Linked DNA regions of Lytechinus pictus. The protein of the gene in region 1 interacts with the protein of each later gene in a pairwise test. Links are inferred from orthologs where the notes say so. Each region holds a gene or a part of one and is shown on either strand. Other genes may lie near its edges.

Evidence for each region. The genes of interacting proteins can lie anywhere in the genome.
Region 2: the proteins of ubiquitin-conjugating enzyme E2 K-like (region 1) and tripartite motif-containing protein 2-like interact in binary tests that used the Homo sapiens proteins (3 or more experiments, as listed by UniProt). The link is inferred for Lytechinus pictus from reciprocal best matches to the Homo sapiens genes UBE2K and TRIM2.

The regions. Positions count from the first base shown.
Region 1 is NC_087249.1:33,557,742-33,565,659, forward strand, and holds the start of ubiquitin-conjugating enzyme E2 K-like, read right to left. Parts: upstream 3,006-7,918; coding exon 2,661-3,005; intron 648-2,660; coding exon 495-647; intron 1-494. UniProt on the Homo sapiens protein: Accepts ubiquitin from the E1 complex and catalyzes its covalent attachment to other proteins. In vitro, in the presence or in the absence of BRCA1-BARD1 E3 ubiquitin-protein ligase complex, catalyzes the synthesis of 'Lys-48'-linked polyubiquitin chains.
Region 2 is NW_026974140.1:10,772,522-10,779,585, reverse strand, and holds the start of tripartite motif-containing protein 2-like, read right to left. Parts: upstream 3,028-7,064; 5' UTR 2,656-3,027; intron 1-2,655. UniProt on the Homo sapiens protein: UBE2D1-dependent E3 ubiquitin-protein ligase that mediates the ubiquitination of NEFL and of phosphorylated BCL2L11. Plays a neuroprotective function. May play a role in neuronal rapid ischemic tolerance.

The sequences.
Region 1 (7,918 bases):
AAAAAATGGTTATCACCCCAAATGTAAGGTCATCTCTTCCAAACTACATGTTTTATTTTGATTTTGAATGATGTATTTCTTTCCATCATAAAAAAAACAAAAATAGTAGGGGGGACATTTGATATTGTGTCCCTCCTACTTTTTTTGGTAGGGAGAACGTGTTCCCCCTGTCCCCCCTGAGATTTCCGCCCATGACTACCACCACCACCACCACCACTACTACTACTACTACAGTACTACTATTACTACTACTACTACTAACTACTACTTCTACCACCACCACCACCATCATCACTACTACTACTAAGTCCTACATCTCCTTGTTTTTCAATCAATTGACACAGGGAAAATTGGTCTTGACTATTAACATTTATATAAATAAGAGCAAAATTTCTTCCCTAGAAGTATCTTGGCTAGATGGCACATTCGCACATGAACAAAAAATGAGATCCTTAAACTGAAAATGGATGGACTTTATGGTAATAAAGGCTTACACGAGGTGGATTGAAGGGGTACGTCTCTGGGACTTCGATGTGTAACTTGAATTTACCACCCTGGTACGGTGTGTCTGGTGGTCCTATGATCTCCCCTTGGAGTTTGGAGTAATCATTGATTGGAAATTCAATCTTGATCTGGTTCTTAATAGCCTGCAAAGAAAGGAAAATGATACGAAAAACTAAAATAGATAAATAAAGTAACAATGATATTACTGAACAAAAAGTTTGGCTCCTTAAATAAAAAAAGTAATGACCATGGAGCACATTCTGGGGAGTGTTTCATGAAAGGATTTGTCAGACATTTTTTTCTGATAAGTCTGCTTTATTCCAGTTACCCTAGTAACAGTGCTTCTAAGCCAATCAATAGGCTTATCTAGGAAAGTCTCAGATTTGACAACTTGGCAGACAATAAATGTTGATAAAAATCTCCCCCAAAAGTCCGGTTCAACTTCCATTACTTACAAGTAAGTCATAACTTGTGTGTGATCTACATGTATGTCCATTCCAGAAAAATCAGTAAGATACATGTAGGCTACTGAAGAAATATTACACCTCCTGCAGGATGGATAAGATACACACTCTTACCTGCACATCCGCATTGGACAGCTCTATAGTTAATGGTCTGTAATTAAGTAAATCTGAATGAATCTTTTACACTGGAGGCAGATTAATAAGAAGAGGAAATCTATAGGCTTAGCATATATGCAATAATTGTCAAAATTTGTCCTTTGTGATCTATTGTACATTATTTCTAAACAATTTATGAAATATTTCTTGCAAAATTCTTCAAATTGCCTTCTTTTCTGGATTAACAAGCAGTATACTTCCTGACAAGAGATAGCCTATGGGCATGGCCCCCTAGGAGCATCTCAAATGACCTTAAATATTGGGGCATTTAATCAATATTTATATCCGACATGTTTGCTTGCATAATAAGCATTAAAATAAATCCTGTATAGTGATTGGTTCAAATACAATGTACATGTAGTATCATGTAACCAAATATATTCTAACTATGATGATTTGTGACGTTAGACCTCAATATAATTTTCGATATACCAATATTCTGATGTCATTATTTGAGAAAACTACATGCAGATACCGGTATTTACATGTAGCTAATCTCTCTGGTACGCCGGTCAGCAAGCTGCCTCTCCCGTGATGTGTCAGCGCTATCAGCATTCCATTGAGCATGGTAGCTTTGGGAAAGTACATGTAGGTCATTCAATGCAAGTTAACGGACTCTGCAAACTCAGTGCACCGATTTTGGTTCTAATTCATTAAAAGTAGGAAATACGACAAATATAACAGGCATTTCCTTTGAAAGCATTCTTGGTTTGACTGGCAATATAACTATTCTGCACTCAGGTCTTCACCCCAAGGGAAAAATAGTAATCGCCAGACCAACCTTGGATAAATAACTCCCACTATTTCACAAAGCCCGATATATGTAGGCTATACTGTTACCATGGTAACTGTCCAACAAGTCTTTTCATGAAATACTCCCCTGACACTTAGAGACAGTCTCTAGTTTTAGGAGACATGCATCCATCATTCCATCTAATATATAACTTAAAGATATAACCTTGTCCTGTAATACTACGGTGCACAAGTTTAAACTAGGCTTGACAATTGATCTTCTTTGCTTATTCTTCATCTCGTGAGTCAATAATAAACATTTTGCCAAAACACTTTCTTGTACAGTGTAATCATCATATACATGTATCTTAGCCAGCTTAAATCCTACTTTTTAATGAAACTGATTATAAAACTTCAGTTACCCGTTCCTGTACTTTCCACCAATACTAGATCTACAATGTAGGCGTATAGAGAGCCTCACAGAAATAAACCCCAAAATGACAGATTTTGATTTTGACCACACTGGTGAACAAGAAAGTCAGACAAGGGTAAGAGCTAATAAATATGTTTATATTAATTCAATATTTTTTAATGTATATCCTAGCAGTACCAACAAGTACTGGATTACAAATAGACACATGATATCTGGATGTTCGAGACTGTTGGGAATGTGTGGTAGATGGAATTCCACCCTTCTAAGTGCCAAACGTTGACAGTCACTAACAAGAGGAAACAGATTCTTGGCCGGTATGGCATCACCTAGAGTTTGTGAGTTCTGCCAGGTATCTTGGTATCCACATTTACCACAAACTCAACTTCAACAGTCATGTGGATACTGTCAAGAAAGCGAATTCTGTCACCGCCATCCGATGACGGAAATTTAAGCACTGTAGGCACAAGATCAAGGCTACATACTTCACATATGAATGCCCAATGGTGGAATATGCTGCAACAGCATGGGACCGAGACACACAGTGGAATGTAAACAAGCTTGAAATGGTACAACGAAGGCATGCACGCTACGTCACAGGTGACTTCAACCAAACATCCAGCGTAACGACTAACGACCGAAAACCTGAACTGGCCATTGTTACTCACCAGATGTCTTGACAGTGGCTTGCTTTGCTGTAACGTATCTGCTTCAATCATGTTCACATTACCTGGCAGTCCTTCTTCAGTGAGCTGTCAAAAGCAACTAGGGGACACTGATCTCGATTTTGGACACCCCACTGCAGCAGTCAGACCTATGATTCTTCCATCTTCCCAATCCCTAGTTAACCTGTAACTTAGGACTGGAACAATCTCCCACAGGATCCAATCCATTACCCTCTGTTGATGCCTTCAAGGCCTTCTTGATTGGGGTGCAGAAGTAAACACCACAAAGGATGCTTTTACTTACTATATACGCACCTGCACTACAAGAACAAGACCTTTTAATAAGAATGTGAAAAGTTCCACACATACATGTACATACACAACCAGTGCATTTATCTTCATCACCTAGGCAGCACTTACTCTGGAAGAAGAAGATCCCTAATTGTTTGTTGTGCATAAGGCAAGATGTTAATATGCTAGGGCAACCTTTATAGATTTCTCATCAGCATTTAATACTAAAGAACCCCATATACTCCTGGAAAAAGTAGAAAAATCTAAATGGTCAGCCATCTCTTATACTGTGGCTTCATGATTTTCTCCATGAAAGGACACAGAAGGTTAGGGTTAACGGCATTCTCTCTGATGAAATAACGACAACCATTGGTACTCCACAAGGGTGTGTTCTCTCTGCGACCCTTTTCACCCTATACACCAATGACTGTATATCATATAACCCATCTACTCACAAACTTAAATATGCAGATGATACGGTGATAGTCGGATTAATTGAAAATGAAAATGAATTGGATTATATGGATACTATCCATACGTTCGAAAATTGGTGTGAAGCAAACTGTTTACTCGTTAACTCCAAGAAGACAAAAGAAATTGTCTTCGACTTCAGGCAAAAGAAATCCTTTGAACCCACTGATAGACCAGTACATATAAATGGTGATATTATTGACAATGTTGAAGTTTATAGATATTTAGGAACGGGAATCGACAGCAAACTGTCGTGGGATGCAAAGTCAAAATGCACTTTGACCAAATGCAACCAACGGTTATATTTCCTCAGAAAGTTAAAGTACTTCCATGTAAATGATAGGATCCTGTATCTATTTTACCAGTCGATCATCCAGAGTATCATTACTTTTGATTCAATCATCTGGTTTAATAACGCAAAACAGAGAGATAAAATAAAGCTTAGAAGACTTGTTAAGCAAGCCAGCAAAATAATGAATAACACTGTTGACTTTCGAAAGCTCTCTCCATTATGTCTGATCAAACCCACCCCCTGAATAGCCAGTATATTCAATTAAGAAGTGGACGAAGACTGAAATCTATAAAAGCAAGAACCAGTCGCCGCATTAATTCATTCGTCCCTTTCTCCATAAGAGTTGTCAATGAAATACAGTAGAATAAGGAGTGTGGTTTATCTGTAGAAACAAAGAGAAAATGTAGCAGACAACTCTGCAACTTACAGTACATGTCAATAGTAATTGTAGAGTTTTAGAGATGAGAAAGTTGGGAATATATGTCCCTTTTATCTCTCACTGTACCCCCCCCCCCCTCCCCCCGCCCGCGACTGCATGTCTTAACTTGAAAGGAGGAAGTATTGAAATATGTAAAACCAAGATCTAGCTACAGCTTTAATTGATATCACTTTCAGAATGAAGAAAATAAATAATGTTTAATACATAATATATTCACAACATTTATACCATAAAAACATTAAAAATATAATCAACAAATAAATGAATGAATAAATAACTGAATAAATAAATAAATGCTCAATAACTATGCCATCTAAGTCATCGATTTTAATTCATGTATACATCACATGTATTCTATAACTCTGTACAATCACGATGATTACGTTCATGTTCATGTTTAATATGTTACCGGTATGTTCATTGTTGTAATGTTATTCTGTGAATTTTATTTTTGTTGCAAGAATTGTCAAGTTATACAATTATCCGTTTTAACGGACAAATAAATTAAATGAAATGAAATATTACTCATCATAACCTGGTACTTGTTGGTAGTACTAGTAGCACAAGTGAAGTCTAAATATTCCTGTCCTCTCACGCATGTATTCTCTCCACCATCTTTAAACAGTTTTATGCTCTTTCAATTACATTGCAACGGCTGGATGCCAACTTTTTCTATTTCCTTTCATGCCATGGAAATTTTTGCAATAAAAAATTGATGGGCATGTCAGTGGATCATATTACCACGGTTACTAAACGCTTTTCCTGAATTCACATTAATCTTCTACCATAAATATGCAAATACGGTACGTACAAAAAATAAAGATGTAAATCTGTTGCTGAGATCATTTTCCTTTTTTTGCGATATCAGCTTCCGATCACACCCCACTTCACAAGTGAAATATTTGGGTCACTTCTCTTGAAAATGATATCATGTGTGTTTTCGGTGGAAAAAGTTAGAAAAATTACAAAATCTCTTATCGGATATTTTGACCATTTGTTGTTTTGAGAAAGCAAAGACTTTGAAAATTTCTTGGCCATTTTTTCATCGTCTTTCCATTCAAATTGCTTTTGGAAGGATTTTTCAAAGTTTTAAGCATGTTCTGATGCATAAATTTTCGTGTTCGGAATGTACAGGGCCGACTGGTTATACAAAAACAAGAAATCACTAAGACACAAGATCTAACGTAAGATCTGACTATATTTAAAATTAACTTTAAATTGATATAACATCCAATTCCCCATTCAATTTATTTCAGTAAAAAATTAATGACGGTTAGACCCCTGCCAGTCCTCAGTGTCTCTCGGACATGATTTTGAGACTTGACTCAGCTCCACTGCCGGCAGGTAATTTGTGAAACGCTGTGTTGAATTAACTTGTAACTTGTTGATTAATTATAGAGGTCTCGGCCTGTTTTATTTTGTTGTGCAAAATTAAAAAAAGAGCAAAGCACTAGCGCCCGCTCGGTAACTAATGTTAGACTGGTCCTTGCAAGCCAATTCTGGATCTGGATCTGGATGTGTACGATGCAGTGCCCTCTTGAGCATAAACGCATCGGGTGAGAGAGGGCGGAGTAAGGATTAGAAGGTTCCGTCAATGGCCTTCTTGAATGAGCTTGTCGATGTTGAGTTGATGACAGCGTCACTCAGGTGATTCCACTCAATGATAGTGGATGGGAAGAACGAGTTCCTATATTGTTCAGTTCGTGCTCTGATTGGATTGTATGATGGTGGTCCCCAAATCTGCGCACTTAACAATTTGAATTAAGATTTAACATGAATTCCTTTTTCTTTCACAAAATCTTTCAGTTAATAATGTTCCTTATAATTTATATCATTATGAGTAAGTGTACCAAATATCTCATAAAAATTTGAAAGAAATATAGGATTTTCTTGGAAAAAACCTTGGGCCGTCATTTTCAGATTGAAAAAAAATATGGTACCCCATGTCTGCGCACCCATTCACTTTGCACACGATTCGGGGATTTTGATGAGAAAGCCTGCATTTTGAGGCTGTCATAAGAAATGCCCAAAATTCATTATTTTTCCATTTTGAGTCAGATTTTTAATGAATATCTGTCTATGTATTGCATGTGTAAAGTCTGTGTTTGTTGGGTATCTTCTTCTACTAGAATCACACAGATACGCATGTGCACAGACAAGGGGGACTGCACAGACTTGGGCCCTTGGGCTTAGCCTTAGGGGAGCTATTATTTGTCACTTCACTCACTTGCCTATCTATATTTATTGTACTAGTGTCTCAGTTTTCAAATTGTTTGGCACGGATGTCTTCTGGATTTTATAGGTTCACTTGAGCAAAAGTTTGGATTGGGAGAGCTAGCACCAACCCCCCGACCACTTCGAAGAAGAGGGTGAGTTTGACTTGACTCTTGAGCCTTTGAGGTTCCTTCTTCTTTCCTTCAGGCTTGGGAGCTAGATCAGTAGATGTACCGCCAGTACCGGTTCCGCTTACTGCGGCAGCCCGAACACGTACTGTGTTCGGGCTGCGTTGTGATTCACCCCGGCTCACCAGATCAAACCAGATGAGCATCGGGAATCAATCAAAAATACATAAAATTGCACAAAACTGTTACAAAGGAATCAATACATACTTACAACTTAAGGCGCAATATGGGCGGCACTCAAAACTTCGAAATAATTCCCCAAAACGAAGCAAAAACGTCGGAAAATTTTGCCGGTGTGCATTAACAGTCGTTTGTACAGGAAGCAATGGAGGATCGATATAGCCTTTTGACGAGGCAACGAGATAAATTGATTTTTATCTTCGTGCTAGCAGAAAACAAAAACAAAAGATAAATAATAGCCTAATCCTTATAAAAACAAAAAATAAAATAATAATCGATTATAATACGTTTATAATACGCTCTTCCTATTAATTTCACCCTGTTTATTCACTGAGGATCCTATAGAAATATACTAGAAGTCTTTGACAAAAGGCTATCGTATGAGGCATGCGAGAAAGGGTAATATGAATATTCATAAGTCTAACTTAGTGGCGTAATTTCTTTTTCGATGGTTTGGCTGCGTGGCAGCCAGTGAATAAATCACTATTTTAACGGCCTTTTGTTTTTATTCGATTAGCTTCTTTTCATGTAATTTTTTTCTTCATTCTTTTCTCGTGTTCTAATATTCTTTCTTAGTTCTCCCTCGTGATTTCTTTTCACTTTCTTTATTTTTTATCCCCTTTTCCGTTTTGTTTTTATTATTTTCATATTTTGTTCATCTACTTTTCGTTTCGTAGTTGATTTTCTTTTCCTTTCTTTACTGTTTCATTTTTTTCTTTTTGACTTTTGCTCTTTTTTCTTCGTTTCTTGTCTTTTCTTTTCCCTTTCGTTTTCTTTTTAATTCTTTTTTTCTTTACTTTTCTACCTATTGTCTCTATATTTAAATTAGTTTCTTTATCATCTTTTTTTTTTTCGAGAGAGATTATGCACGTGGTGTCGCACATTTTTTTTA
Region 2 (7,064 bases), on another chromosome or scaffold:
CAAACCCTTTGAGTGGCCTCAAGAACTGCTAATGACATTTCATAGTTCATACCCACGTACATGTAGAATTCCTGTTGACTTTGTTTATGGGTAAAAACAATTACATCCTCTATTGCATGCTAAAATATCTGATGAAATTCTAAATTGAATTAGCCATCCCTGACAAATAGTTTAGTGAGATTTGAATTCCAGTGAACGTGGGTGGTTTAATATGAGCTGTCATCATGAACTCATAATTCTAGGTCAGATTGTGACAACAACTGATTGAATTCCACTTTCTTTTTTTAAAATGGATTTCATGAATGTGCATGTGAGGGTAGTTCCCCCGGGGGGGGGGCACTCACATATATTGGAGTACGGGGCCGTGCCGCTTTGATGACCCCCTTTTTCAAACCTAATTTTCAGTTCTCTAGATACTCCGAATGACAAAAGTTCAGTTAAGAAGCCGCCCAGCCCCTCTCGCAAGACCCCCGTTAGGCCGTTACGAGACATCTCAGTTCCCAAGCCCTCCCAAAATTGTCAAACGCGAGCACCGCATGCGAGATGATTCCCTGGGTAAAGCACTTTGTAAAGTTTTAATAACAGCAGTACTGCGTCCAAGGAAAAATCAATTTATATAATTCATGAGATCACTTTTAATTAGTTTAATTATCCGAGTTACCACTACTCAATCTTTTTTCTGAAAGATTATGAATTTTCAGGACTGAACATTTTCTATTCATTCAATAAAGTAAAACCATTCAATAAGCCATGACACAAGGAGAGCATTACATGTAAAGAGTCATTAATTTTCACTGGCATCTAACTAGAAACAAACCAGTACCGGTAAGTGAAATTCACAGATTTCTTGTCTCAGGAAACACTCGCCAGTTCTTAACAATCCACGTATATGACGTTACAATGTTATATGTCACTCACACAGCACACTATTATGAAATGAAGTTGAGAGTGTAAATTCACATCGTTCACGAAAAAGTGAACATTTCCTCATTAGCAAGTCTGTCATATTTACCCTCCAATAAAATTTCAAAAAGCTAATGGAAAAGGAAATAATTTATTAGACATGTAGGCCTACATGAAGCTACAAAGTTAAAGGGGAAGTTTTAAATCATTATATACCACCTTCTTGAACATTTGTCACATTAGCCATAAAAAAATTCTCATATATGGTATAATCATATTCCATAAACATTTGCAAGTTATGGAATTTTGTATTACATTTATAGAATTTATATCACATGATACATGGGGAAGCTGGTTGTATATGACATCAATATAAAAAAAATACAAAAATCCATAACCCTCTGATTCTTTGTTAGGACTTTCACTACTTACATGTATTACCTTGGCCATCACCATTATTTTTTCTGCTTTTACATCCAAGTGAACCTATCCTTTATTAACAATCATTTACTTTAGCAAGGCCAAGGAAATGTACATACTTACATATGCAGGGGCCCCAGGACTGGGGAGGGAGCTGAAGAGGGGGGGAGGCTTGCAGGGCTTCAGCCTCTAGTACACTCCTCCCCCCCCCCTTGCCAGGAGGCTCCTAGATATTAAAGTCATTCCACTGCATGTTTAATCTCCACGGAGCCAGGGATTCCATAGCATTCATCTCCACAAACAGTCGTTTTTCCCATGGTTTATAGACTCTAGTAAAAAAATATAAAGTCTTTAACTTTTCTAGCCTAACTTTATATGTAAATGGGCTACAAGTATATTTACCCCCCACACGCAAATGGTGATAAAGATTTGATAGTTTTTTAGTCTACCCATGAAAAAACAACCATGTGTGTAGGTGAATGATAAGGAATCCCTGGCTTTGTGAAGATTAAAGGACAAGTCCACCCCAACAAAAAGTTGATTTGAATAATAAGAGAAAATCCAACAAGCAAAACACTGAAAATTTCATCAAATCGAAAGTAAAATAAAAAATTTGTGGCATTTTAAAGTTTCGCTTAATTTCACAAAACAGTTATATGCACATCCTGGTCGGTATACAAATGAGGAGACTGATGACGTCATCCACTCACTAATTCTTTGTATTTTATTACATGAAATATTCTAATTTTCTCTTCATTTTTAAGTGAAACGATTAATTCCTCTCCGAACATGTGGAATTAGTATTGTTTGACAATATATGGATCAGTCAAGTTGGTCCTAATTGCCAAATCTTTAAAATATTGTATAATTCAAACAATACAAAACAAAAGAAATGGTGAGTTAGGGTCATCATCAACTGTCTCATTTGCATGTCACTGAATTGTGCATATCACTGTTTTGTGAAAAATAAGCGAAACTTTAAAAAGTCATAACTTTCTTATTTTACATCCAATTTTGATGAAATTTTCAGCATTATGTTAGTATATAATTTTTCTCTATTTATTCACATAAACATTTTTCTGGGGTGGACTTGACCTTTAAGCACGTCAGTTTAATAAGTGGCTACCTCCCCCCCCCCCCCCCCTCACTTTGTTTTTCCAAACTGTAAAACAATTTACAAAATGACCATCTGATTGTGATATGTCGAGAATAATGGAGGGTTTTTCATCAAATTATGGAGAAGGGTCTATTATCAATGACAATGTGTGCACCAGTAATGCCATGGCTGGTGCACTGTGCCATTGCCATTGGCATTCAAGGCCCAATACTTACTAGAGTGTGTGGCAGTACGATGCCAGTGGATTCCTATCCCCGTCGCGGTCGGCCTGGCCGGCTATGTTCGGGGCTCCGTTCAGCTCAGTCACGATCACGTCTCAAATCAACACAGATCCAGAACAGAAGTACTACTCACTTATCCTCTCTAATTCCGCGGCTGATCCAATAATATATGATGATCCAAAATATAATTGCCAGATAGTATGAATCCAAAAAAAATGTATTTGCTGTGAATTTACAAATAAATTGAGGCGTGGATGCCTTCTCAGCCCTAGTACCAGCGATTCAAATGATTGCGCAAGAGCATTGAGCTGGCTAGCTAGCTAGCCGCATAATTACCGGTACCGGTATACGTACCGGTACTAGTATAGTATGCATATGCACGTCGCTCGCGATACGACGCTCTCAGCTCAGTCTATCTCAGATCTGAATCGCGCGTGGTGTGGTGGGGGTCAAGAGATCTATGTGGGGGCTCTTCTCTTCTATTTTTGTCAGTTTTGGTTTTCTTTTATACAAGTTCGTGGGTAGATCATTTTGGGGTTAGAAAGAATGCAGATGGACAAATTACCTGCTTTCTTTACATACAACCTGTGCCTGCGTGCTCTCTGCTTATATGGTAAAGGCCTACACGACCACTACCCGGGCACCCCCCCCCCCCTCAATAAAAAGCCTCGAAGTTGCGTTGTCATTTCATCTAAAACAAAAACAAAGACACACTTCATAGGTTTCCATCCATATGGACCAGGGGAGACTTCAAAGGGATAGGGGCAACGGGGTAACTGCCCCTCATTAGATATTCAAGAAAAAAAATTAATAAAAAAAATAAAAGAGAGAAAAAAGGGGGAAAGTGGGAAGGAGAAAAAGAAAAAGCGAAGCGAGAAAAGAGAAGAAGGGTGTAGCTTTATTGTTTTTCCTTTTTGTATTTTGTCAAATGTATAAAAACCTAAACGAGATGCTCTTCTCTCTCTTCATGCAAAATTTCGCGGGATAAATATAAAAATTGCCTTACCCCTTTGTTTCCCACAACTTTTTCTACTCCGTTTTTCAACTCCTCGGCAATGGGATTCGTGTATTTTCTTGCCAGAAATTATGAAGTATACTTTGGTTTAAAATATTATGATAAGTATTTATTTAATTTCCGCTCTTCTGGTCAGAGCGGGTAAACACTACCGCCACTCTCCGAGTCCGCATATGCAATTTCTGCTTTTCAGCAACCAATTTTTGGCAAACTATCTGCTCAAGGGGACAGGCATTAAATTCGCGCCGTGCTATAATGCAAAAGTATAAACGGAGAAACTTTGGTTCCATATGACATTTGCTCCGGCGACAACTCCGCTGCAAATATTCCTTCCTGCGAAACTTCGGAATTTCTCTGAATTTTTAGAAAAAATTCAGAAATTTCGAGGGACTCTTTCCTCCCTGCATACGTGTCTTCTGAAAGTGTAATGTGGCTAAATATTTTTTTTATCAAATCAGATCTAATCAAGGAAGGCATTTTACACAACTTTTGTTCTCAATTTCTATAAAACGTTTTACGTTCCGTGCTTCGCGCGGGAAGAGGAATTATTTCAAATTCATTAATCTTTTCCCGTATTTCTTTCAATTTTTTTTTTTTTTTTATCTCAGCATTTTAATTAAATTTGGAATACTAGAGACGCAAGAGACGTCTCCTTTTGATTTGAATTTGATGAGGCATCGAAAACTTCGCTCGGGAGGCCTGGGGAAACTCCCCCTCCCTGTACCCCCCCCCCCCCTATAGGGAGCACGCCTCACGCGCTCTGTATGGGATTTAATCCAGGACATATAGTTCCTCTCCAATGAAGTTTATTTAGTTTATCTCTTTTCATTTTAATCACAAAGATATAGGGAAAGAGAAGGGTATCTATAATAACCTTTGGAACGAAAGATGTAATTGTGGTTCGAGAAAAAAAAAAATCATATTGCAACTTTAGAATGTAATTAAATGTGAGACTGTCTGGTTTTGGTAAAATACCGAACAATTCATGATTTTCATTAAAAAAGAACGATAATTCAAGTAACTGGAGAGTAAATATGAAAAAAAAATTGCCATTTTAAGTTTTGGAATATTAATTCTAATAGACTGACATTATAATAGTTTGAAAAGGTAGAATTTGCTTTTAGTAATCTGTGCACTGTGTAAAATTAATTTTTAGTTGACTTGAATGGAATGAAGGGTAGGCTACGATGAGGATATAAGTTCACATAGAGTTTACAGGTTAATGACACACCGGGAATCCATGTCATCACTTCTATCATTAGTTCAGGAGTTATTCATGTCAACATTTCCAGTGAGGTTGATTAATGGAGGGAATAATGAATGTAAACGAATGCTTTTACGGGTGGATAATGAAATGCTTTGTATTTAATGTTGATATATATTCTACACGCACCCTCAACGACGTATTTGCCTATAATTAATATTGCATACACATGAACAAGGATAGGGTAATGGGGTTCATAATAACTTTGGTATGTACCCCTGATGGACGAAAAGTGCAAGTTCATTTCATTAGGTTCAATGTTCATGATCGTGACGATAATGCATGAAGTTATGTTGTGTATCTTAATTCAATTTATTCAAGACACAATTAAAAGTATTCGCTATTACAGCTTACATCCATACAAACTGCATAGAAATCTGCTTATATACATGAAAAAAAAATATACAATTTATAAAATAAATAGCGATAGACCAATGAAACCCAGCTGACAGAAAAAGAAATACATATGGGGATGCATAAAAATGTGCCTTTGGGGCAGAATCGAATGGGGGCAGGGGAAGCAATATAAGAAGAGGGAGAAAAACAGAAAGAAGGAAAGTGAATGAATGAATGAAATCAAATGAATGAAAGGAATGAAATGAATGAAATGAATGAAATTAAATGGATGAAAGGAATGAAATGAATGAAATTAAATGAATGAAAGGAATGAAATGAATGAAATTAAATGAATGAAAGGAATGAAATGAATGAAAGGAATGAAATGAATGAAATGAATGAAATGAATGAAATGAATGAAATGAATGAAATGAATGAAATGAATGAACGAATGAACGAATGAACGAATGAACGAATGAACGAATGAATGAATGAAATGAATGAAATGAATGAAATGAATGAAATGAATGAAATGAATGAACGAATGAACGAATGAACGAATGAACGAACGAACGAATGAATGAATGAATGAATGAATGAAATGAATGAAATGAATGAAATGAATGAAATGAATGAAATGAATGAAATGAATGAAATGAATGAACGAACGAACGAACGAATGAATGAATGAATGAATGAATGAAATGAATGAAATGAATGAAATGAATGAAATGAATGAAATGAATGAAATGAATGAAATGAATGAAATGAATGAAATGAATGAAATGAATGAAATGAATGAACGAATGAACGAATGAACGAATGAACGAATGAATGAATGAATGAATGAAATGAATGAAATGAATGAAATGAATGAAATGAATGAAATGAATGAATGAATGAACGAATGAACGAATGAACGAATGAACGAACGAACGAATGAATGAATGAATGAATGAAATCAACTTTCATGTGGACCTTTAAGGTCAAATGAAAATTGCGACAGTTATTCTTATAGTAGCACCTCCGTGTGTACGATAACGATTTAGATATTTTTACTGAAAGCTTTTATAGATTAAATCTCCAAATTGAATATAAATCCCATATACATCGTATATGAAAAGAAAACATTTCTCTGATCGAACGGATAAAATGAGAATAAATTGATATTTATTTCACTGTACAGTACACCCAAGGCCAACAAAAAGTAGTCAGAAATGATTTGTACACATAATTTTATCATTCAATACTTCAAAAAAAAAAATGTGCACGGTCAAAGCGAGAACGTGATGAATGTATATAAGCCATTTGATTTTTAAAAGTGGTATGGAAGTAAACATTCTTTGTAAATGAAATTAATCAAGTGATGAAGAATAACATCGACAGAAATGGAGAAGGAATTTATAATTTTGGTGGCACCCCAAATCAAGGGATGCTTAAAGGTGTCCCTAAAAACTGGTACTACAATCTCTGACATTATATTTTTTTTCTCGATCGAGGTTTTCATGATTGTTGTTGTGATAACCAACAATTGATATGATAATCATAACTAAAAATAATTTGGGGGTGAGAAACGACACTTATGAAAATAAAAATAAAAATTTGCTATATCAAAAAGAGAAAGCAGATGATGATGGAAAATATGAGATTTTCTCCAAACAACTAACTCGTGAAACCAAGGTGAGTAGAAGAAAGTGGATGTCGTTGTTTTTAAAGGAATACTACGGATAATTTATTATAAACGAGAATAAACAAAGGTTCCCTCAGACATTACTACTTGACATCACA